Linked DNA regions of Drosophila melanogaster. Changing the gene in region 3 together with the main gene of any one other region gives a genetic interaction. Each region holds a gene or a part of one and is shown on either strand. Other genes may lie near its edges.

Region 1 (4,153 bases), on a different chromosome or scaffold from region 3:
TCGGCAGCCCTCTTCGGGCTGTACCTGTTCTTCAAGATCTTCCAGAAGGTGCACATCAACTACCTGCTCACCGGCTACTTCTTCGTGCTGGGAGTTATTGCTCTGGCGCACCTGCTCAGTCCGGTGATCAACTCGCTGATGCCCGCCGCCGTGCCGAAGGTGCCCTTCCACATCCTGTTCACTAAGGGGGAGGGCAAGCACAAGGAAGACATCGTTAACTACAAGTTCTCCACGCACGACATTGTCTGCCTGGTGATCTCCTCGGCGATCGGAGTGTGGTACCTGCTCAAGAAGCACTGGATCGCCAACAATCTGTTCGGTCTGGCCTTCGCCATCAACGGCGTGGAGATGCTGCACCTGAACAACTTCGTCACGGGCGTCATCTTGCTGAGCGGCCTGTTCTTCTACGACATCTTCTGGGTATTCGGCACCAACGTGATGGTCACCGTGGCCAAGAGCTTCGAGGCGCCCATCAAGCTAGTGTTCCCCCAGGACCTGATCGAGAACGGCCTGAACGCCTCGAACTTCGCAATGCTGGGACTAGGCGACATCGTTATTCCGGGCATCTTCATCGCTCTGCTGCTGCGCTTCGACGACAGCAAGAAGCGCAAGACGCGCATCTACTTCTACTCCACGCTGATTGCCTACTTCCTTGGCCTGCTGGCCACCATCTTCGTGATGCATGTGTTCAAGCATGCGCAGCCGGCTCTGCTCTACCTGGTGCCAGCCTGCATGGGCACGCCCCTCCTGGTGGCCCTCATCCGCGGCGAGCTGAAGGTGCTCTTTGCGTAAGTGTGGACTGCGCTGGGCGCTCGACTTGAAACTAAACTAACTCATTCTCGCCCCCACTGCAGCTATGAAGATCATCCCGAGGAGAAGCCCGAAAAGAAGGAGAAGAAGGAGAAGGACGAGGGCGTCAGCTCGTCCGGCAGCAAAAAGAAGGAGTCGAAAAAGGGCAAGTAGAGCCGGGAGGACGCAACATCCGAACAACATCCCCACTCGTTCCATCGTAAATGTCTTCTGCAGCTAGCCAAGCTCCCTTTCGTTTCGATATGGCTTCTCCATCTACCGCAGTCCATAGCTCATATGGACTAACACCGCTACAAAAGACGATTCACTTACTGAGTTAGTTATGTACGTTCCTTGGCCAGGCACAACAATCTTATTTAGTTCGGTTAGGTTACAATTGTAGAAAATGTTCCCTCGACTTTTTTACCGCAATCAATTTAAATATGTATTTCAAATATTTCTGTGGCTCCGCACAGGAGGCTTATATGTTTAAGAACAGTTTAGATACAAATATATTCCAATTTTTGTAAACAGTGCAATTTTGACTACGAATTCTACATTGCATTTCTTAAAACTAATGCAGTAATTTGTGTAAACAGTAATGCGAATAAATTTTAATTCTAACGTTTAATTAAACTAGTTTTGTATTGAGTAGAGGGTTTTTAGGAATGTAACGGCTTAAGAGAAAAACCTAATACATTTTAAGTTGAGCTTACCAAAATCCAAAGAATTTTTAAATTTAAAACATAATACAAAAGTGCTTTGAAAAAGTCAGTATTTTAATACCACTGTTTATCCACGGCCACACTAAATATCGATAACCGCATAGTGAGACCCTTTGTGTAGAAAAACTTATACCTTTAGCGAGCACAAGCGTTCATTCCTGAAAAATTGCGGTAAAAATTGCGAAAAGCGCGAGTTCCCCCCGCGATTGCAAATAATTAATTTGCTTGGAACCACTGGAGACGCAAGGACGAACAGAGAGGTAGGTGCTCTTGCACTTAGCGCGCCAAAAGGCGACAAAGCCCCTCGTAGGCCACTTACCCACACACACACATTCGCAGACAGACGCGCGTGCAAAAAAGGCCAAGTGGGACTGCTAGCGGAAATCCAGGACTCGAGGACACGTTCGGGCGGCAGTAGAGAAGCGAGCAAGCAGCGACGACCATGTCCGGCATTGCTATTACACGATTGGGGGAGGAGCGCAAGGCCTGGCGCAAGGATCACCCATTCGGGTTCGTCGCACGACCCGCCAAGAACCCTGACGGCACCCTCAACCTGATGATCTGGGAGTGCGCCATTCCCGGCAAGAAGTCCACCCCCTGGGAGGGCGGGCTCTACAAGCTGCGCATGATCTTCAAGGACGACTACCCCACCTCGCCGCCCAAGTGCAAGTTCGAACCGCCGCTGTTCCACCCGAACGTCTATCCCTCGGGCACTGTTTGCCTGTCGCTGCTGGACGAGGAGAAGGACTGGCGCCCCGCCATCACCATCAAGCAAATCCTGCTGGGCATCCAGGACCTGCTCAACGAGCCGAACATCAAGGACCCAGCCCAGGCGGAGGCCTACACCATCTACTGCCAGAACCGACTGGAGTACGAGAAGCGCGTGCGTGCCCAGGCCCGCGCCATGGCGGCCACTGAGTAGTCGGGCTCCTGCCAACCACCTTTACCACATAGACATTAACAAATACACACATCTAGCCGGTAAGCGTTTGTTTGGAATGCTCTCCACGTCTACTTACTTTTAAAGAATCGACTAATTTTGGATAGCCCCCGCGGCCCGAAGCATCTAATTTTTTAATGTTCTGCACTTGCTTAATTACCAGCATGTACCATCTGAATAAATACAAATAAGTCCTGTAATTTTTCGATGAGGCCCAAAGTGGCCACGTGGCACCCAGAATTCGACGCTCTTTTCAGCTTCCATTCTGGGTGCAGGTGCCGATTATTCTACGGGCTATTTTGTATCGCGAGTACTACGTACAAACCTATGTAATTTCAATAAAAATTTATTAGTTGTAAAAGCTTATGCATTTTAAAGCGGAAAGGATTTCCCAGCAAATGTGCAGTCGAGCACTTGTTGGTCGTCAGTAGCCGTACAGCTGGATTTAGTGCTTGAATTATTCCATATAAAGTTCTTCCTTTTGCTTATTATTTAAGTAACATGACTATTTTTAAATTTAAGCATTTTATTTAAAAACTTGTTCAGTCCATTTTTACCTTTATATTTTATTTGATTTTTAGGCATTTGAAGCTGGTCACATTTCCCAACTATTTCAGCTGATCTGGCAAGTCCGCCAACATTACTATGCATAATTTTTGGCTGATCTGGTAGCATTCGCTGCTGATATAGCAATGCTTCCAGCTAACGGTTCATTTCCAACGAGGCCGCCATATTGAAAAATGCCCAGTTAAAACACCTACTGAGATTTGTGTTCGCCTGGTACTTCAGTCTGGGGAATCCGGCATACTGACAGCTGAATTTATTATTTTTCCCGAGGATGCTCATATATTTCGAACTGAATTACCAGGGAAGCATAAGCGTGGAAAGGTGTTTTTAAAACAACCGCCAGGATTCCCAAAGTCTTGGTTTTGGTGGGCATGCTCTATTCTGAGTACCAGGCGAACAGAACTTCTAGTAGGCTACCAACGATCAGCTGATCTATCTGATGCCTGGTCTAATCTAACGGTTCTTTTATTAGGGATGCCACAATATTTTTCTATTGATCCGGTAATATGTCCGATGTTTGACAATATTTTAATCAATCTGGCAACTATGTCGTCATAACATTTTTCGCTAATCTGGCAGCACTCAAATCGTTCGTTGAATTCAAAAATGTAAAATGTCGTTTAGTTACTAATTTCACTATATTTTATATTGAATAAATTAATTACTTTTATTGTCGCACACACTTAATAAATAATGTACTCATTTAAATTACACAGTTAGAATTGCTCGCTTTATGGGGAACAGCGAGTAATTTACATTATAGTATTGGATCTACATTGGAATACTTCGCCTCCTTCTACTCCGCAGACCATTGCAAACTTGTAGTTTCTCGCCCTCAATTTAATTTCTGTCTAAGTGGTAAGCTTTGGCATGCATTATATGTCATGGTTCCCACTTAATGGGTATGCGCCTAAATTAATGTACCTAAGTATCTATGTGTTATTCCTTTAGGTGTACTGTATATGTACGGGAGTACGATGTATATATCTACTTCTATCGATCGGTAAGTCGAAGGAGTCAGTCCCCAAATGGAGTTGGAAGTGGAGGGCAGCGACGGGAGATTTTCCGGGAATACTGTCGTCGATGGTTGGTTGCGGTTTGGATAGTGTACATTTTTAAAGGAGGCTAGGAT
Region 2 (4,594 bases), on a different chromosome or scaffold from region 3:
TCGATCAAGAGCCTCTCACTTGTGGGCGCCATGTAATTACTCATTGAATGCAGTCGAATGATTATAAATTACGTCGCAAATGTCGAGTGCGCCTTTTTTTAGAAGCCAGATACTTGTATTATATAAAACCCTCACTTTCGGATTAACTAGCCTGGTAATATTCCAACAATCAAGTTATTACGAACGTGTGGCGTTCGCTTAAGAGCAGTTGTTAACTTAAAATGCACACATAAGTATGTTACATTGATTGCTAAAGAAAACGCAGTCGTTACTCAATTCAAACAATCGTGAAACAAGTAGCTAATATGTTAACTAATGCACAACATTCAAGTCTCATGACAAGTTTATAACAATTTTCCTGCTAATGCTATGTAAGCATTTGCTGAGGTTTTATAACAAAATAATTATATTACCCGGGTGAAGACACTGCTATCTTTTTATTCGCGTTCTTAAAATAAATTTCTAGAAAGTTTACACGTGCGCCTTTGTATCAGGTCATAAATTTTATGGTCACATAGGAAAAGCAACAACAATAGATTAAATAGATATGATAAGAGGCCAAAATTTTAATCACTCAATTGATTGAGGTGCGGGAGGTCTTTGATTTGGTAGACCTTAATAAAAGGCTTTCCTATCGAAAATGATAAGGAAATAATAATAATAAAAAATACACTAAGTCTGCTGGCAATCTTAGCAAACAAAATAAACAAACGAATGATAACAAGGTTCGAGTTTAGAACTCGAGATCTCTCATATTTAGTCCTATAAAGCGCAGATAAACTCAATCTAATCTCTGGCTGATGTTGTCGTCTTCTTTTCCTTGTTTTTTTCGGACAATTTGACGCTTTATTTTAATTAAAGTAATTAGCACCCCAGTTAATTGATAGAGCCAACATAAATCTGTCTAGCAGCTGCTCCTCGCAGTGCAGACATCATTAAAACAGAATTCGCGTGTCGCGCGAGTCGAGATGATATCTCTGTAGACAGTGGGCTTCATAGCTCATCACGAGATCTGTTGAAAAGACGAATATCTGCCAGCCAGTTAAGTAAACATTTGACCGTACGAACATTTTGTGGGTACTTTCCGCAGGGGTCAACGTGTCATTTGCATGTTGCAGTGCAGTTCTACGTACTGATTGCTTTCCGGGTAATTACTGATTGCAAGGGGACCCCATTCCGTGGGCCACTGCCTAATCGAAGCGAAAGTGTTGATAAGCAATCCTATCGGTGGTGGCAAAAGTGCGGAAAGCATTGCGAATATACATATGCATTTATATTGAAGACATGAGGTTATAAGGTTTTACTGAGCTGAACTTATTCGAAACACATACTTAGCAATCACTTCTGGGTACAATTATTGATTTCAAAAACCAAGGGGATAAGAAAGAGTTATCATTAGCCGAAAGTAGACCAACCTACTGACCCGGTTGATAAGTACAAACGCAGCTAAGAACTATTTCGTAACACTTACCCGCAACAGCCAGGTGAGCACGCTCTCGCGATAGGGAACGAAGGTGCTGGGCGTCCCAGAGCCCAGGGGTCCATTGGCGATCGCCTTGCGGGAATCGGCGAGAGCAGCAATTACTTTCCCCAGCGTCAGCAGGCTCTTGTTGATGCTGACGCCCTCGCGGATCCGCTCGCCGTTCGATCCGGAGACGCTAATGCGTTCGCTGCCCGCCAGGTCCACCAGGCTAATCTTGCTGCGCCGCGTCTGCCGCAGGGAGGAGGCCGTGCTCGAGTCCGTATCCGAGGACAGGCCATCGTCACTGCTCAGATCGGTGAGGTTTAGGACAATGTTGAAGATGGAGTGTGAGCGCGAGCTCTTGTCGTTCATGGCCGTGGAGGCAGTGGCCCGCTGGGAGTTGCCCACGGCAAGCCAGTTGCGGAGTGCCGAGTACGAGTCCACCGAGTGGGCACTCAAGTCCACTACGTAGGGCCCGAAGATGGGATGCTCCCTGACCTTTAGAGCCGGACGCTGCTGCTGTTGTTGCTGCTGGATGGGCGTGGATTCCCCGGTGGCAGCTGCCGCATGCTGGACACTCAGCAGATCGTGTATCTTCTCGTTGTAGATCTCAAAGTAGCTGACCTCCACCTCCACCTGCAGCTGCTGCTGACTTTTCACAGCCTCTATGCGGCGGAATAGCTCGTGGCAGAAGCGTGGAATGATGCCCGCCTCATCGTGCGGCGGTCCGCCATCCAGAGCGGCGTCATCCAATGCTTCAATGCCCATCATGCTGTACGATTTGCCCGAGCCCGTCTGGCCGTAGGCAAACAAGCAGGCATTGTAGCCCTCGAAGGCAGTGTCGATCAAGGGACGCGCTGTGCCCTCAAAGACTTTGGCCTGGCAGGCGAAGTTCTTTCGTTCGGGATCGCACGAGTAGTAGACCTGGTCGTAGCTGAAGAAGTGCGTCACGCCGGCGGAGGCATCAGCACTGCTGCCCGCTTGGACAGTCAGCTCGTTGCTGTTTCCGTGCACCTGGACCACATTGGTGACCTGACCACGTGTGCATTCCAGGGCATTCAGTGGCCGCACTCGCACCGCCACAATCATGTTGCTCTCCTCGGACACGCTGAGGCAGGACTCCATCAGAGAGTCCCGCTCCTTTGTCCTGCTGCAGCTGGATTTCCCGGTGCCGGGCGTCTTTGCTCTTCCAGGAGTAGAGTTCGCATTCCTGTACAGCGACGAGGGTGTGTAGCAGGCATTCAGGGCCGTGGGCTTGGGCTTCGGCTGTGGCGTGCTCCCGCTGAATGCAGTGTTCAGCAGCTGTTCGGGACGATCCCGGTGCTCCCGATCCTCCGCCCGCGTCATCAGCACCTTCTTGCGCATCTCGGATGCCGGCGTGGATTTGTGGACTCCTCGCGTCTGGAACTGCTGGATGCGCTGCCGCACCGGAGTGCTCTTGTTGCTCATGTCTAGATTATTATTTAGGTATCTCTGCTCGTTTTTTAAATAACGCCGAAGAGTTTCGAATTATTGCGCGGCGTCGTTTGTTATTTTTTTTCTAGTGAAGGGCGGCGATCGATAGCAAAGCAGGGTTGATTACAGTGAGCGGCGTGAGGTCCGGCAACGCCACCACGAGCCAGGGATGAACAGCACTTACATACTCTGTTAGCTAACTCTGTTAATCAGCTCATTTAAATTATGAGATAATTGACAAAGAACTAACATGAAATAAATAAATATATAGCGAAATTGTAATAGTGTAAGGATTTCTACCCATACAATAGTCTATTTGTGCAGTTGTAAATCACTGAGAACAGTTGTGGCGGCAAACTGCTCAGCTCTGGCCGATAACCGATACGCGCTGCCTTGTTATCGGGAGCAGCTGTTGACGAGCAACGTAGACAAAAGTAAATATTATTGAAAATCCATAGCAATTAAAGGTGAGTTCCTTGCTGAATTGAGTTTGTTACCATGGCTATAGCATACCACACCCTGTCTTTGCAGCACGCATAGGCACTTGCAACAGAAAACGAGGGAACATCAATCGCTAATCAGCTGCAATTAGCCGCACTCGAAAAGTTCAGAGAAACTAGTTCCGAGCGTGTTGATATCGCAGTCGCCGCATTTGTGGCTTATATTTCCTTGTTCCCTCGATCCAAGTACCATATAAATAAGCGCGGCTCAAAAGCAGGTTTTGCATTCATTGTAAAACATTGCCAAAGCGCGCAGCTGATCAGCCGCATATATAAATCCACATCCAGATACAGATCCAGATATATAGTATAAATCGGACTTGAAATGTCGCAGCAACCTGTTGCCTTTTTAACCCGTCGCGAAACTTTCAGCGCCTGCCATCGTCTCCATAGGTAATTAGATTGAATCAAATTGAATCATTCAATTGCCTGATTCAATCACGGCTGGCAAACCAATTCAGTTCGATTTAAATTGATTGCTGCATCTATTTTCTCTTCAGTCCCCAATTGAGCGACGCCGAGAATCTGGAAGTCTTCGGCAAGTGCAACAATTTCCACGGCCACGGACACAACTATACAGGTAAAAAAAAAAATACCCCTTAAATACACTTAGTCGCATGATTACCTGCAAAGTGCCACACTTATTATCACATAACCCCGGCTCAATCAGGCTTAACCCCCTACTAAACTGGTAATTTGAGCCCAAAGTGGTGCCTAACCATAGCAAAACCTTGGCCGACAAGCTCGCTTATCAAAACCATATTCAAGTTCAACGCTCAAAGGCAATCAATATGTTGACTGGCGACCGAGAATTGATAATGAATAATGGTTCTGAACGAGCATAAAGTGTCGCAAGTGCTCAACTGATTAGAAATTTGGATTATATTTAGATTGTCAATAGCTAAACCTTAAGAACTCAAGCTTGACTCGATGCCGATTATACCAAATTATACCAAAAAATGTGTGAATAGACTACGAAAGATGTTCTTTTATAATCCTTTGTGATCTTTTCAGTTGAGATAACCGTCCGTGGTCCCATCGATCGGCGAACCGGAATGGTGCTAAACATCACCGAGCTGAAAGAGGCTATAGAAACTGTGATTATGAAGCGCCTGGACCACAAGAATCTCGATAAGGATGTCGAATACTTTGCCAATACAGTAAATAACCAGCAAGC
Region 3 (7,353 bases):
GCTGAGAACTGGATGCCCGCAGACTGATTTTTTTTCTTTAAAAAATATATTCTATAGCTTGATATTATTTTGGTTGTTATATCATGGCTAGATTAATGAATCAACGCTCGGGAAACCCAAACAGAGTATTTTGATGTTTGAAGCGAAGGGAAATCGGATAAGATTTCCAGCCAAAAGAGAGTAGGAATGTGTATGGAATGCCGATTTCCAGCGCCATGTGTTTGGATTGGATTGGCAGCTTATCTCGTATGCTAATCGTATGATCATACATACCTATATACATATATATATCAAATATGTATGTATGTATATACCAAATCAACCAGGAGAGAGTGCTAACTAAACTGGAATCGAAGCGGCCGAAACTGATGGATTCGTAGATAGAATCCCCCTGTTGAGTGAGTGCGAAGAGTGAAGATCGACGACTTCAATAATCAATGTATATATATATGTATATTGTCTAAAAATTATATGCCAAGAATAAAAAGTGTCAAAGTGTAAAAGTCCTATTATTATTGTTATTGACCTAAAAGTTATTTTACTTTAAATCAAAAAATGCAATTAAATATTAGATTACATAGCGCTTATTTAATAGGTAGTCTAAGCTATCATCAAATAAATTATAGTCGAAAACAAAAAATAAGTAAACATCTTGAGAAATATTACACATACACATATATAACTGTTTGTTTTAGGATATCCGGCTCCTTTTTTTACTCCTACTATAGTTGTAAAATCAAAGTATATGCCACATAAATAACAATCACTATACTATATTCGAATTAAAATGCTATTTAATTAGTAATTGTATCAAGTGTCGAGACAGTTAATTTGACAAAATCGTTCCCATTTATTTCCCGACCAAATGGGCAGGGATTTGACTTGAAAAAGATTCTCGAAGCAACCCAGGCGGGATCTGAAAAATGTGGATTACGGATTAAGGGTTATTGGGTAAAACGCAAATAAAGGTATGCCAACTATGTAAGTAACTTACCTGTGCAAGGCCAAACTAAAGGCGGACTTTGGACCGATCCCTGGAATCTCCTGCAATTGCTTAACGTTTCCATTGTTAAGCAGGTCCAGAAAACATTTTGTATTATTGGCCATCCAGGCCTTGGGCGCAGGTTTCACGTTTCGCGTACGTTTTTTTTGCACTGTACTTCGAAGGTGCGGTATCGCATCCGTCTCGTTTTTCACAACAACGGAGGTGGCATGTTCCCGGATTCCCGCCAGCCGCGTGCTGCGCCGCAAATTCATAACCTTGGGAATGGCTCCATAGTTCTGCGAACGCATGCTACTCGCTAGACGCACGGAACGACGAAGGCATGGCTGCTGTGGCGAAGCCACTACTGTCTCCTCCATTGGCTGGATGCCGCTAAGTTCTCGCTGAGAGCTGGATGCCCGTAGACTGATGGGACTGATGGTGGTGTTGAACAGCTGGCAGCGTACAGTTGTGGGCACCGTGGGGGCAACCATTGACTGTTGCACCTTTGACGATTCCTTGGGCTCGGTCTCTTCGACAATGCCCATTAGCGTAGAGTTCTGGCTGCTGGCTTGCCTTGGCTCTTGCCCTGTTGGGGGAGGCATTAAATGCCTATCCTTATCGCTATCGCTATGGAAACCCAACAGACTCAGACTGCTGTCCTGAATGTGTATAGACGAGAGCTCCAGCGTGGTCTCCTCCAGCTCCAATAGCTCGCGAGCCCTATGGAGGAAGATATGGGAGGATTAGATCATCTTCGCTTTTGGTCCATTCCGTGTTACTCACCTTTTCTTAGCTTTGGGCGTCATGCCAAGTTCGGAGCGAGTTCGATGGAGCACGGCGCTCAGCGGCTTGGTTGTGCTATATTTGGATTTTGGAACCACTATGCTATTATGATTGGCTGCGTTTGACTTGATGGCCGTCGAGGTGCATAGCGCTTGGCGGAAGACGTGTGTTGTCCGTGCGGCCAGCGATTGCTGCAATCAGAGCAAGATGGGTGGATGAAACTCGAGTAACTGCATCGTTCGATTTGCGGTCAGTGCGGTTGGAATGAGTTCGGTTCGGTACGGCTTGGTTTCTCTATATAAACGATCCACACTCGCGGCGGTGGCGTAGTGTGCCATGGAACAGCCCAGTGAGAAGACGCAGGAGGGGGAGCAGAAAGATCGCCAAAGTCAGGAAGTGATAGAAGTGGCATCCGATCAAGGAAATTCACCAGACTCAACAGAAAGTTATCCAGATGTCGATCAGAAGTCACCTAAACGAATTGATGTTGAGGAACCAAAGGAGGAGAACTCAAATAACAGCGAAGCAGTGCAGGATTTAGAAGATAATCGTGTGAAAAAGGAGGAATTGGTGGCAGAGTTGGAGGAACCGAGAGGTGCTGAGGTGGAGCACATTGAAAAACAACTAGCCAAAGAGATTGATTCGAAAGTGATCGACAAACAAGAGCTCAAAGGCATAGAGGAGCTTGATAAAAAAATTCCCCAGTTGAATCAAACATTTGGAGATCAGTTGTTGGAAGGAGATGATGAGCCTGAGGCGAAATCAAAGGATGAGCTGGCAGAGAATGCGGACAGGGAAAAACTAGCAGAAATCTCTGCGAGTGAGATTCAGCTCACTGGCAACCTAGCAGCTCCAGCAGAGCAAGTTGATCAGAAGGAAGCCGAACCAGATCCACATGAAGACACCGAAGATGAACGAAATGGGGAGGTGAATAGAGAGCACCCAGACAGGATGGAGAGTCCTGTAGAGCAACAAGAGGACACAGCCAAGCCAGACGAAGATCTGCCCAACGAGCAGGTTACACAGTTCCTTCGCCAACTGGTCAGCCAGCTGTGGCCAGAGCTGGGCGCCAATCCGGAACTGCGTCTGGAAAGGGCGAGTGCCAAGGGCGACAACTATTTGGGCGTGGTGTGGCGCCTACAGGCGGCATCCGATTCGAAACGCAGCCTGGTGGTTAAACTGCCGCCACAGAATCGCGTGCGCCGCAAGCAATTCTTTGCACGACCATGTTTCCTGCGCGAGACGGCAGCATATGAGGTCTTTCTGCCGCTGACTGCGTTAATTCAGGATAAGTGGAAGATAATCGGAGATGATCGTTTCCGGCAGCACGCGCTCTGTTTCGGAACTCGCCAGGATGAGCCCAACGAGTGCATCGTGCTGGAGGATCTGTCTTGTGCCGGCTTCTCACTGCACAATCGCTTTCTCGACCTATCCGTCGAGCATGTGCGTCGCGTAATGCTCACCTATGCCAAATTACATGCTATATCATTGGCCGGGAAACGGCAGTTGCCCGAGAAAATGCAACAACTGCAGCAGCTGGTGGATATCTTTGAGCAGCGACGCGATGATCATGCCTTGGGGGTCTACTTCGAGAATCTGAAGGAAAGCGCCCTATCCGCACTGCTCGCACCGGCGGATGATGCATACAGAGTTCGTCTGGAGGCGTACTTCGCCAGAGGATCGTACTTTGAGCTGCTGCTGCCTTTGGTCAGCGGATTCAATTGCGAACCCTTCGCTGTTATTTGCCACGGCGATTGCTGGAATAACAACATTCTCTACAAGAGTACAGAGCGGGGCGAGCTCGAGGACGTGCGCCTGATCGACTGGCAACTGATGCGATATGCCTCGCCGGTCACCGATCTAGCTTACTTCCTCTTCACTTGCACTTCGCGGCGATTCCGGCAGCGACACCTCGAAAATATGCTCGAGGATTACTATGAAGAGTTGGGCCTGCAGCTGATTAGGTAAGTAAAAGTATAAGAATCCTAGAGCTTCAACTATTGTATTGTTGTGTTCGCAACAGACTAGGCGAGCGGGTGGAGCAACTTTTTCCCCGTCCTGCATTCGATGAACAGGTGGCTACCAAAGCGGCTGTGGGCCTGCTTCTCGCCATGATGGTTCTACCCATTGTAACGATGCAGGGTCAGGATGTGCCCGACCTTCAGGCAATTAGCGAGCGCATCGAGGCGGGGGCCACTACGGATCTCCATGGAGCTGGTTTCCTGGGCGCGGGCAACGAGGCTACATTTAAACAGCGTATACGCGAGGTGATCCTCGACTGTGTGGACTTTAATTACATATAGATGGCTCACCTTCTGGCGCGCCACTTGCATCGGATTCAGCCGAAGCTTCTTGGCACTGGTGCCAAAACGCAGGGTGGACAACGTCTCGCTGAGATCGCATTGATGCGGACTGATGCAGGCCAGAAAGGTCAGATACGACTGCGCGGTTAGCGAGGCTGCAAAGAATGAAAACGGCAAGAAGTTGCAGTCAATATTTATAGTAGTCACTAAGTCGCTAATCAATAAAGGCTTGAACCCAAATGGTCCACTAACTAATTGAGCATGAGACGATCCAAAACGTAGCACTTACCCTGCAGAACTGTGGTAAGGACGCTGTCGCGGTATGGTATCACTGTGTGGCCCGCCGCCATGGACATCACCACCTTGTTGATGCTCAACAGGCCCAGATTGATGTTGACGCCCTCCTGCCTGGCCACGCCCTCGTGCCCAGTTCGCCGCACGCCTTCTGAACCGGCCAGATCCACAATATTCATCCGCGAGTGATGGGTTTTACTCTTCACGTGAATGGTGACTATGGCATGGGATCGCGAACTATTGGAATTCATATTGGTGGGACGAACGCGTCGATTGCGAGTGCCTAGCTCCAAGATGTGATGCAGATCCGCCTGGCTGTGCAAAGGAAGGCAGGTGCATCGCTGGCAACGCGCCGCCACCATGGGCATATGTGGCGTGGAGCCCAGCAGATCGAAGGGTTTCTCATTGTAGATCTCTATGAAGGAGGCGTACACCTGAATCGCATCCTTGTTGTTCTCCTGCCGGGCGGTCACGCGCTCAAAAATGTCGCCCAGGGCGCGAGGCAGAATACCCAGGTGCTCGGGCAGTATCTGTAAAGGAATAGAAGCGATAGATCAGTGGGAAAGATTTAAGCCACTGATGGCTAAACGAAAAACCCACCTCTCCCGGAGGTGTCATGCCCATTGAGTAGCTCTTGCCCGTTCCCGTCTGGCCGTAGGCGAGTGCAGTGCACTGGAATCCCTCGAGCAGCTTGTCCACCAGCGGCAAGATCAGCGCCTGGTACATCTCATCCTGGCTGATGGTCGCGGGAAAGGCGTGATCGAAGTGGAATTCATTCTGATCCACTATTAACGACTACAAAGCGAGATGGCGGTCATATACCGTTAGACATGCACATGGCCAATGGTGGGGCACATACCTTTCCGTCGCTCCATGGCGGAAACTGGACGACGCTGGGCTCCCGACGCCCCAAGAACTGGCGGTACGGCGCCTCGCGGACCGCAATCCGAACTGCGCTTAATTTGGCGCCCTCCATGCAGATTGAAGAATTGAAGTTGTTTGAATAATGCACAATTGGCTTGCATTCACCGTAATTATTTTACTTTTTTGACGAAGCCAAGCGACCTTTGCATTTCAAATTGATTTTGGCAGTGTGACCGTCGCGGTAATAACACTAAGAACGATCTGGGTTGGTGTCATGGATATTTACATTGTGGCTTGTGACCTCGCTTTTGGTATGTGTATGTTGTAGGGGCCATCTCTAATTTAACTTAATCTTGCTAAAATACTGCACACAACTTAACATGTTTTGCAAACATATCGTGCACAATGGCATCGCTATTGTTCATGAGCATAACATTACAGAACTCTGTTAATGCGCCACCCTTGCCAGCCCTGGCCTGCGCTGCCACCCTATATGATTATAGACACACATAGCAAGTGCGGAGGATCGGTATTGCCAACTTATTAAAACAGGAACAAGAACTAACAAATTTGATGGAAAAAAAGCCGCTTAAAACAGTATTTGCAATAGCAGATAAGTCTTTATTTGTCATATGTAATTTAAGTGTCAGTTCTGGTCACCCTGGAAACCAAGGTGGCAGCCCTAAAAGCATCTCGAATTTCCGTTACTTTTAGCGCCAACAAAATGGCGGAAATGTATTTGCAGTTAATTAGTATTGCCATCTCTCTCTAAGCCAGCACCGTTCGCCTTCTCTTTCTTTTCAAGACTCGTATACGAGAGAGATCGCCTCTCTATTGTCATCTCGCTCTAAATCGATCTGTATTATTTGGCAATTGTTAAGTTTCGTATAACATTTCACTAGTTATATGAAATTTACCAATTTATTTTGTATTTTGACTGGTTAAGGCGCGTAAAACGTTACCCATATATGCATATATATTTGCTTAATTTGCAACATTTTACACGTCTTTTAAGACTTCAGTTTGCATTGCGACTTGTACAATGTTGCGTTCCAAGACACATTTTTTTGTCTTGTATTGTATTGTATTGCATATTGTATATTGTATATTGTATATCATTCATTTTGTTTTGTAGCTTGACAAGCGCGTCAACCATGAAAACAATTCGTTTGTGATTTCCAAATAGTCGTACTCATCTCACTGTCCGTAAGACAATTCAACTTAAACATTTTCGACTATGCGGAAATCGTTACTCTTGCTTGATTTTGCTTCGGAGAACGTTTCGAACGATTATCAATGTGATTCGAAACGATCTCTAAAGCTATATGTAACACCAATTTACCCTTTCGATGGCCATCCGAGCTACCTAAACGAAAGAGAAGAGGATGGAATTAGGATTGTCATAGGCGCAACGTGTCGGAAAATCTAATTCAATGGATGCTACACTGGTTGGATTTGGATTTATGTTTTATTTTTTTGGAGAGGATCTCGGAAGTAACGTACTCACTTGCAGCTAGTTGGAGACTGAATGGAAAAGCGAGGGAAAATTGAGCGGGTGTTATTAATAGGTCACCACCATTTTGCTGCCAGAATTCGAGTTCAAGTGTGTATACGTTGCACTGCGCGGAGTACTCACCAGCTCGATGGGAACTGTACCAAGTGGATGGATTCTAAACACCCCGAACTTCTTTTTTGTGTTAAATTTATGCGAGTGCAAGGCAATCGGAGAAAAACAAGAGCAAAATGCCAATTGAATGAGTAATCAGTGTGTATGTATACCAGAAAATAATGAACTCAACTGCAAACGTGTCTTTTCAGTGTCTTTTGGATCAAAGGAAGTGAAGTTTTCAATTTAGAAATAATAGCAACCAAACTAATACCTCTAACTAAAGCTCTTTTTGTTTCGCTTACCTAAACGCTCGACTTATGATATAAAAAGTAGCCCTAGCTTAGTGTGACCAGGCCGCGAATGCCGCAACATCTAGCTGCTCTAGCCCTTGATATTTTCGAGTTTTGGCCACACTAATGACTGCGAAAATACCGAATAAAATATAGTGGGAACTGCATGAATGCGAAAATAGCGGGATTCCAATACCGAATAAAATATAATGGGAACTGCATGAA
Region 4 (5,123 bases), on a different chromosome or scaffold from region 3:
CCCGCTGGCAGCTGTTGTTGCTGGAAGCGAACGCCGCCTTGGTCACCGGATTGCCTAGCCACTGCCTCACTGTACGAAGGCGGCGCCGGTGGTGGAGGCACGTCTGCAGTGGCTGCCTCTGCGGATGCCGAAACAGTGGACGGGTCTGAGTTGGCTGCTCCTGGACCACTGCATACCACATCATCGCTGGACGGAGGCGCGAACACATCCTCTTCCAGTTGGCTACTGTCCGAGGCCGGATCGGAACTATTGCTTTGTCGGGCGCCTGTCGCCGCACTCTGATGCTTGTCCTGCACGGACATCACGATCTGCCAGGCGCCCTCGCGGGTTGTCGGGGAACTGTCTCCGGGATAGACGTATTTGATTGCCTTTTGCTCCAGCAAAAGTTTGTACTGCTGCTTCAGGGAGGAAGTTATCTGAAAGACGGTAAACCATATTCTATCATCTGGAAATCTATATTAGTAGAATAGTTCCTTACCAGCAGCATAACACCATCGTAGGCTTTATCTTTGCAGATAACCAGGCGCATCACAGATCCGTTTTCGATGGCAGTGCTCGCAATCATGGGGCAGTTGGGACTCAGGCCCACAAAGCAGATGGAGCCATCCGAGTAGCCGATAATGGCCCTATTCTGTCCACTGTTGGTCTTCCACCAGACGACGGACAAGGGATAGGGGCAGGTCTTGGACGCCATGAAAGAGGCTGCCATCACCTGGCTATTGCCGGTGGTATCGATCGTCTGCTGCTGCTGCGGCAGTGGCTGCACTGCATCCTCAGTTCCGCTATTTCGCACCAGCATGTGCTCGGGCAGGTCGTGGCCAAGAGGCTCCTCCTCTTCGCCTTCCTGCAACCTGGCCTGCTCTAGGTTCTCAGCCAACTGATCCATTGGCTCCGCCGTGGACTCTTCCAGACCGGTGGAGTGATTGGGGCACTTTTTGGAGTTGGGACACTCGTGGGGGCCCACAAAGGGGATGATGTAGGAGGTGACCTGGGTGGTGCTGTAGAGCGAGCAGGCGGACAGTCCATGGGCCTTGTCCACCAACGCCAGGGCGGGCACGATGTGCAGTGTGTTGTCGAAACCTGTTGACAGAGCAGTGGATAAGTGGTGTTTGAGCAAGGACTCCATTCGATCGTTAAATCAAAACAAAGGGGAGGCAGCAGAAAATCAATAACCATACACGCACACATGGGGGCAAAGTAATTTTAGCAGCACCACCACAGCAACCACCCACCCAACACAAAAAAGTGGGTGGTGCTCATGCCATCATACGCTGAAACTCACATAGCACCAGCAGCCAAACGCCCGCCGGATCGAAGCAGACGTCGTGGATGACGCGGTTGCGGAACCAGGATATCATCTTGACCACCTCCTGGCCGGAGGCGGCGCTTATGTAGCGCAGCAGGATCTCGTTTTCCTCAGAAACGAGGCATAGGAACTGTCGCTTTTCGTCCAGCCCCGCTGTCACCGCGGACAGCTTGCAGCTGATGTTAGTGATCAGCGGGCGCAGCTCGAACATGCCCAGCTCCTTGAGCTCCGCCTGCCCCGACATCTCGGGGGGATTGGCGGACGTGGGGGAAGCCAATTTTAAAATTCACAAAATCAGTTCGATGGGAACGAGCCTTTTCCAATCCGAATGAAAACAAACTAGAGATGGTCGCGTGAGACCTGCGGCCGGTCTGGCAACGACCCGATCACGCAACTGCTTTCCAACTGGAACGCAATTTCCACAGCTTTTTCGAGGCAACAAATAAATTTCAGAATAGCGCGGCCTTCCTTCACACCGCACAAGCTCGCAAAAAGAAAGCAAAACGCTTTCAAGAAGTTCGCCCCGGATTGCCGCAACCGTCCGGCAACGACACTAGTGCTGCGCACAAGACTTCACTCTTCAGGCTGTTGAACAGTCCGCCGCGACTTTTCCACAAAATGAACGGTTCGAATGCAACAGCCACCGTATTTCACACCCGCTTGGGTGAGTTTCACGCGCCGAAAACCTGCGGGATGCACGAGTCAAGGCGAAAATTTGTGCCCGAGGGCCAAAGCTGCAGCACTGAAAACATCTGATTGACAAACTGGAAGTCGTCTTGGCTGGCAACGCCGTACTCTCCCGACAAATGGTCACACTGCCCCAGAGCATCCCTGCAATCAAAAATAACGGCGGGAATCGACGGCGTCGCTTGTCAACAACGCAAAACTAATTGATAAAATCGGTTGCAAGGAGGCAGACGTATCTTCTAAGTTAGGCACAACACAGTTGGCGATGGAATCCCGGCTACCGAAACCGTCGGGCCTGAAGAAACCCCAAATGCCGATTAAAACCGTGCTGCCCACAGATCGAATTCGCGCAGGATTGGGAGGTGGAGCCGCTGGAGCAGGCGCCTTCAATGTCAATGCCAACCAGACATACTGCGGCAACTTATTGCCGCCCCTCTCAAGGGACCTCAACAATCTGCCCCAGGTGCTGGAGCGTCGCGGAGGAGGAGGTGAGTAAAGAAGCATCCTTCCAAAGAATTCACCTTAAGTCCTTGCTAATTTCCGATAGCACGTGCCGCCTCCCCAGAGCCCATGAAGTTGGGCCACCGGGCCAAGCTGAGACGTAGCCGTAGCGCTTGCGACATCAACGAACTGCGTGGTAACAAGCGCACTGCGGCTGCTCCTTCATTGCCCAGCATTCCCAGCAAAGTATCCCGCCTGGGCGGTGCACTCACTGTTTCCAGCCAGCGACTAGTGCGTCCTGCGGCGCCTTCGTCAATAACAGCAACAGCTGTCAAAAGACCACCAGTAACGCGTCCTGCTCCACGGGCTGCAGGAGGAGCAGCCGCCAAGAAACCAGCAGGAACAGGAGCAGCAGCTTCGTCAGGAGCCGCGGCTGCTGCTCCCAAGCGCATCGCTCCCTACGACTTCAAGGCCCGCTTCCACGATCTGCTAGAGAAGCACAAGGTGCTTAAGACAAAGTACGAAAAGCAAACAGAGGACATGGGCGAGCTGGAGTCCATGCCTCAGCAACTGGAGGAGACGCAGAACAAGCTTATCGAGACGGAGTCCTCGCTGAAGAACACCCAGAGCGACAACGAGTGTCTTCAGAGGCAGGTGAAGCAGCATACCGCCAAAATTGAAACAATCACATCGACGCTGGGCAGGACCAAAGAGGAGCTATCCGAGCTGCAAGCAATACATGAGGTGAGTACTCAAGTAAACAGAAACCCAGGTTAAATGTAACAACAATGTGTGTGTTGCAGAAAGTAAAAACGGAGCATGCTGCTCTAAGCACAGAAGTGGTGCATCTGCGCCAGCGCACCGAGGAACTCCTGCGCTGCAATGAGCAGCAGGCCGCCGAGCTGGAGACCTGCAAAGAGCAGCTCTTCCAGTCGAACATGGAGCGCAAAGAGCTGCACAACACGGTCATGGACCTGCGCGGCAACATCCGGGTCTTCTGTCGAATACGACCGCCGCTGGAGTCCGAGGAGAACCGTATGTGTTGCACCTGGACCTATCACGACGAGTCCACCGTGGAGCTGCAGAGCATTGACGCACAGGCCAAAAGCAAGATGGGCCAGCAGATCTTCTCATTCGACCAGGTCTTCCACCCGCTCTCCTCGCAGTCGGACATCTTCGAGATGGTCTCGCCGCTCATCCAGTCGGCCCTGGATGGCTACAATATCTGCATCTTTGCCTACGGACAGACGGGCAGTGGCAAGACCTACACAATGGACGGAGTGCCGGAGAGTGTGGGCGTCATACCGCGCACGGTGGATCTGCTCTTCGACTCCATCCGGGGATATCGCAACTTGGGCTGGGAGTACGAGATCAAGGCCACCTTTCTGGAGATCTACAACGAGGTGCTCTACGATCTGCTGAGCAACGAGCAGAAGGACATGGAGATTCGAATGGCCAAGAACAACAAGAACGACATCTACGTGTCCAACATAACGGAGGAGACGGTTCTGGATCCAAATCACCTGCGCCACCTCATGCACACGGCCAAGATGAACCGTGCCACCGCCTCGACAGCTGGCAACGAGCGCTCCTCTCGTTCCCACGCGGTTACCAAGCTTGAGCTCATCGGACGCCATGCCGAAAAGCAAGAGATCTCCGTGGGTTCCATAAACCTGGTGGATTTGGCCGGCTCTGAGTCTCCCAAGACGAGCACCCGGATGACCGAGACAAAGAACATCAATCGCTCGCTATCGGAGCTCACCAACGTAATCCTGGCGCTGCTGCAGAAGCAGGACCACATCCCGTACAGGAACTCCAAGCTGACGCACCTGCTGATGCCCTCGCTGGGCGGCAACTCGAAAACGCTTATGTTCATCAACGTCTCGCCGTTCCAAGACTGTTTCCAAGAGTCCGTCAAGTCGCTGCGCTTCGCGGCCTCCGTAAACTCCTGCAAAATGACCAAGGCCAAGCGGAATCGCTACCTGAACAACTCGGTGGCCAACAGCAGCACACAGAGCAACAACAGCGGCAGTTTCGATAAATAAAGAATGCATTCTGAGCCCAGTTTTAACAATTTTCAAATTTCTAACCTGTTATTGCTTAATTTATGTGTGTTTACTTTTAGTGCAAATAAACTAATAAAGTGCTGGAATTCAAAGCTATCTCACTTGGCTCCCACTGCTGCCCGCACCTCGGCGGGAATCTTTTCCACCAGCGCGGCATGGTCCTGTCCCAGGCTGGCCAGCACTCCCTGTCGATTCACGTGCTCCACATCCGCATTGTAGGCGTAGTGCTCGCCGTTGATGTTGGTGAGGCAGCCGCCCTGGGCCTCTAGAACGGCCTCGGGTGCGCAGGTGTCCCACTTCTTGCAGCCCGGCGTGGCGAAGACGTACGCGTGGGCCTTTCCCTCCAGCAGCTGGAGCACTTTGAACCCAGCGCCTCCGACTTTCAGAACTTCTGTGGATGCGAATGCGTTGAGGGCTTGCTGATGCAGGGCATTGGAATGCGAGCGAGTGGTGGTTATGATGAACTGGCCGGCTGGCGCGGGGACTGCCGTGAATCCTCCCGTGCCCAGACCCTTCAGGCCCCAAATGGTGCGACCCATTTCGCCATCGGGCTGTTGGTAGAATGGCTGATGAATGATGCCGCCCACAGCAGCATCCTTCACGGCTATGCCGATCAGGACGGT

The links.
Region 1: of nod (region 3) and lwr, changing one suppresses a phenotype caused by changing the other (phenotypic suppression), as found in Drosophila melanogaster (one study listed by BioGRID).
Region 2: of nod (region 3) and neb, changing one enhances a phenotype caused by changing the other (phenotypic enhancement), as found in Drosophila melanogaster (one study listed by BioGRID).
Region 4: of nod (region 3) and ncd, changing one enhances a phenotype caused by changing the other (phenotypic enhancement), as found in Drosophila melanogaster (one study listed by BioGRID).

What each region holds. Positions count from the first base shown.
Region 1 is NT_033779.5:540,051-544,203, reverse strand, and holds lwr (lesswright), read left to right. Parts: upstream 1-1,623; 5' UTR 1,624-1,774; intron 1,775-1,824; exon of another isoform or gene 1,825-1,853; 5' UTR 1,854-1,956; coding exon 1,957-2,436; 3' UTR 2,437-2,495; exon of another isoform or gene 2,496-2,967; intron 2,968-3,035; 3' UTR 3,036-3,605; downstream 3,606-4,153. Other genes in the region: Spp (signal peptide peptidase), read left to right, coding at 1-788, 855-963.
Region 2 is NT_033779.5:20,074,174-20,078,767, reverse strand, and holds the start of neb (nebbish), read right to left. Parts: upstream 3,012-4,594; 5' UTR 2,912-3,011; coding exon 1,472-2,911; intron 1-1,471. Other genes in the region: pr (purple), read left to right, coding at 3,743-3,810, 3,918-3,997, 4,432-4,577.
Region 3 is NC_004354.4:11,578,912-11,586,264, reverse strand, and holds nod (no distributive disjunction), read right to left. Parts: upstream 5,494-7,353; 5' UTR 5,342-5,493; coding exon 5,225-5,341; intron 5,161-5,224; coding exon 4,966-5,160; intron 4,896-4,965; coding exon 4,361-4,895; intron 4,309-4,360; exon of another isoform or gene 4,227-4,308; coding exon 4,081-4,226; exon of another isoform or gene 4,072-4,080; coding exon of another isoform or gene 3,792-4,071; intron 3,733-3,791; coding exon of another isoform or gene 2,105-3,732; exon of another isoform or gene 2,090-2,104; intron 1,960-2,089; coding exon 1,769-1,959; intron 1,706-1,768; coding exon 995-1,705; intron 917-994; coding exon 811-916; 3' UTR 515-810; downstream 1-514. Other genes in the region: pkm (pinkman), read left to right, coding at 2,105-3,732, 3,792-4,071. UniProt on the Drosophila melanogaster protein: Required for the distributive chromosome segregation of non-exchange chromosomes during meiosis. May be a microtubule motor required to hold distributively 'paired' chromosomes at the metaphase plate until anaphase.
Region 4 is NT_033777.3:29,803,762-29,808,884, reverse strand, and holds ncd (non-claret disjunctional), read left to right. Parts: upstream 1-1,757; 5' UTR 1,758-2,258; coding exon 2,259-2,481; intron 2,482-2,540; coding exon 2,541-3,178; intron 3,179-3,237; coding exon 3,238-4,479; 3' UTR 4,480-4,595; downstream 4,596-5,123. Other genes in the region: ca (claret), read right to left, coding at 1-416, 479-1,080, 1,283-1,550; CG7789 (uncharacterized protein), read right to left, coding at 4,599-5,123. UniProt on the Drosophila melanogaster protein: Minus-end-directed microtubule-based motor protein. Has ATPase activity. Required for normal chromosomal segregation in meiosis in females, and in early mitotic divisions of the embryo.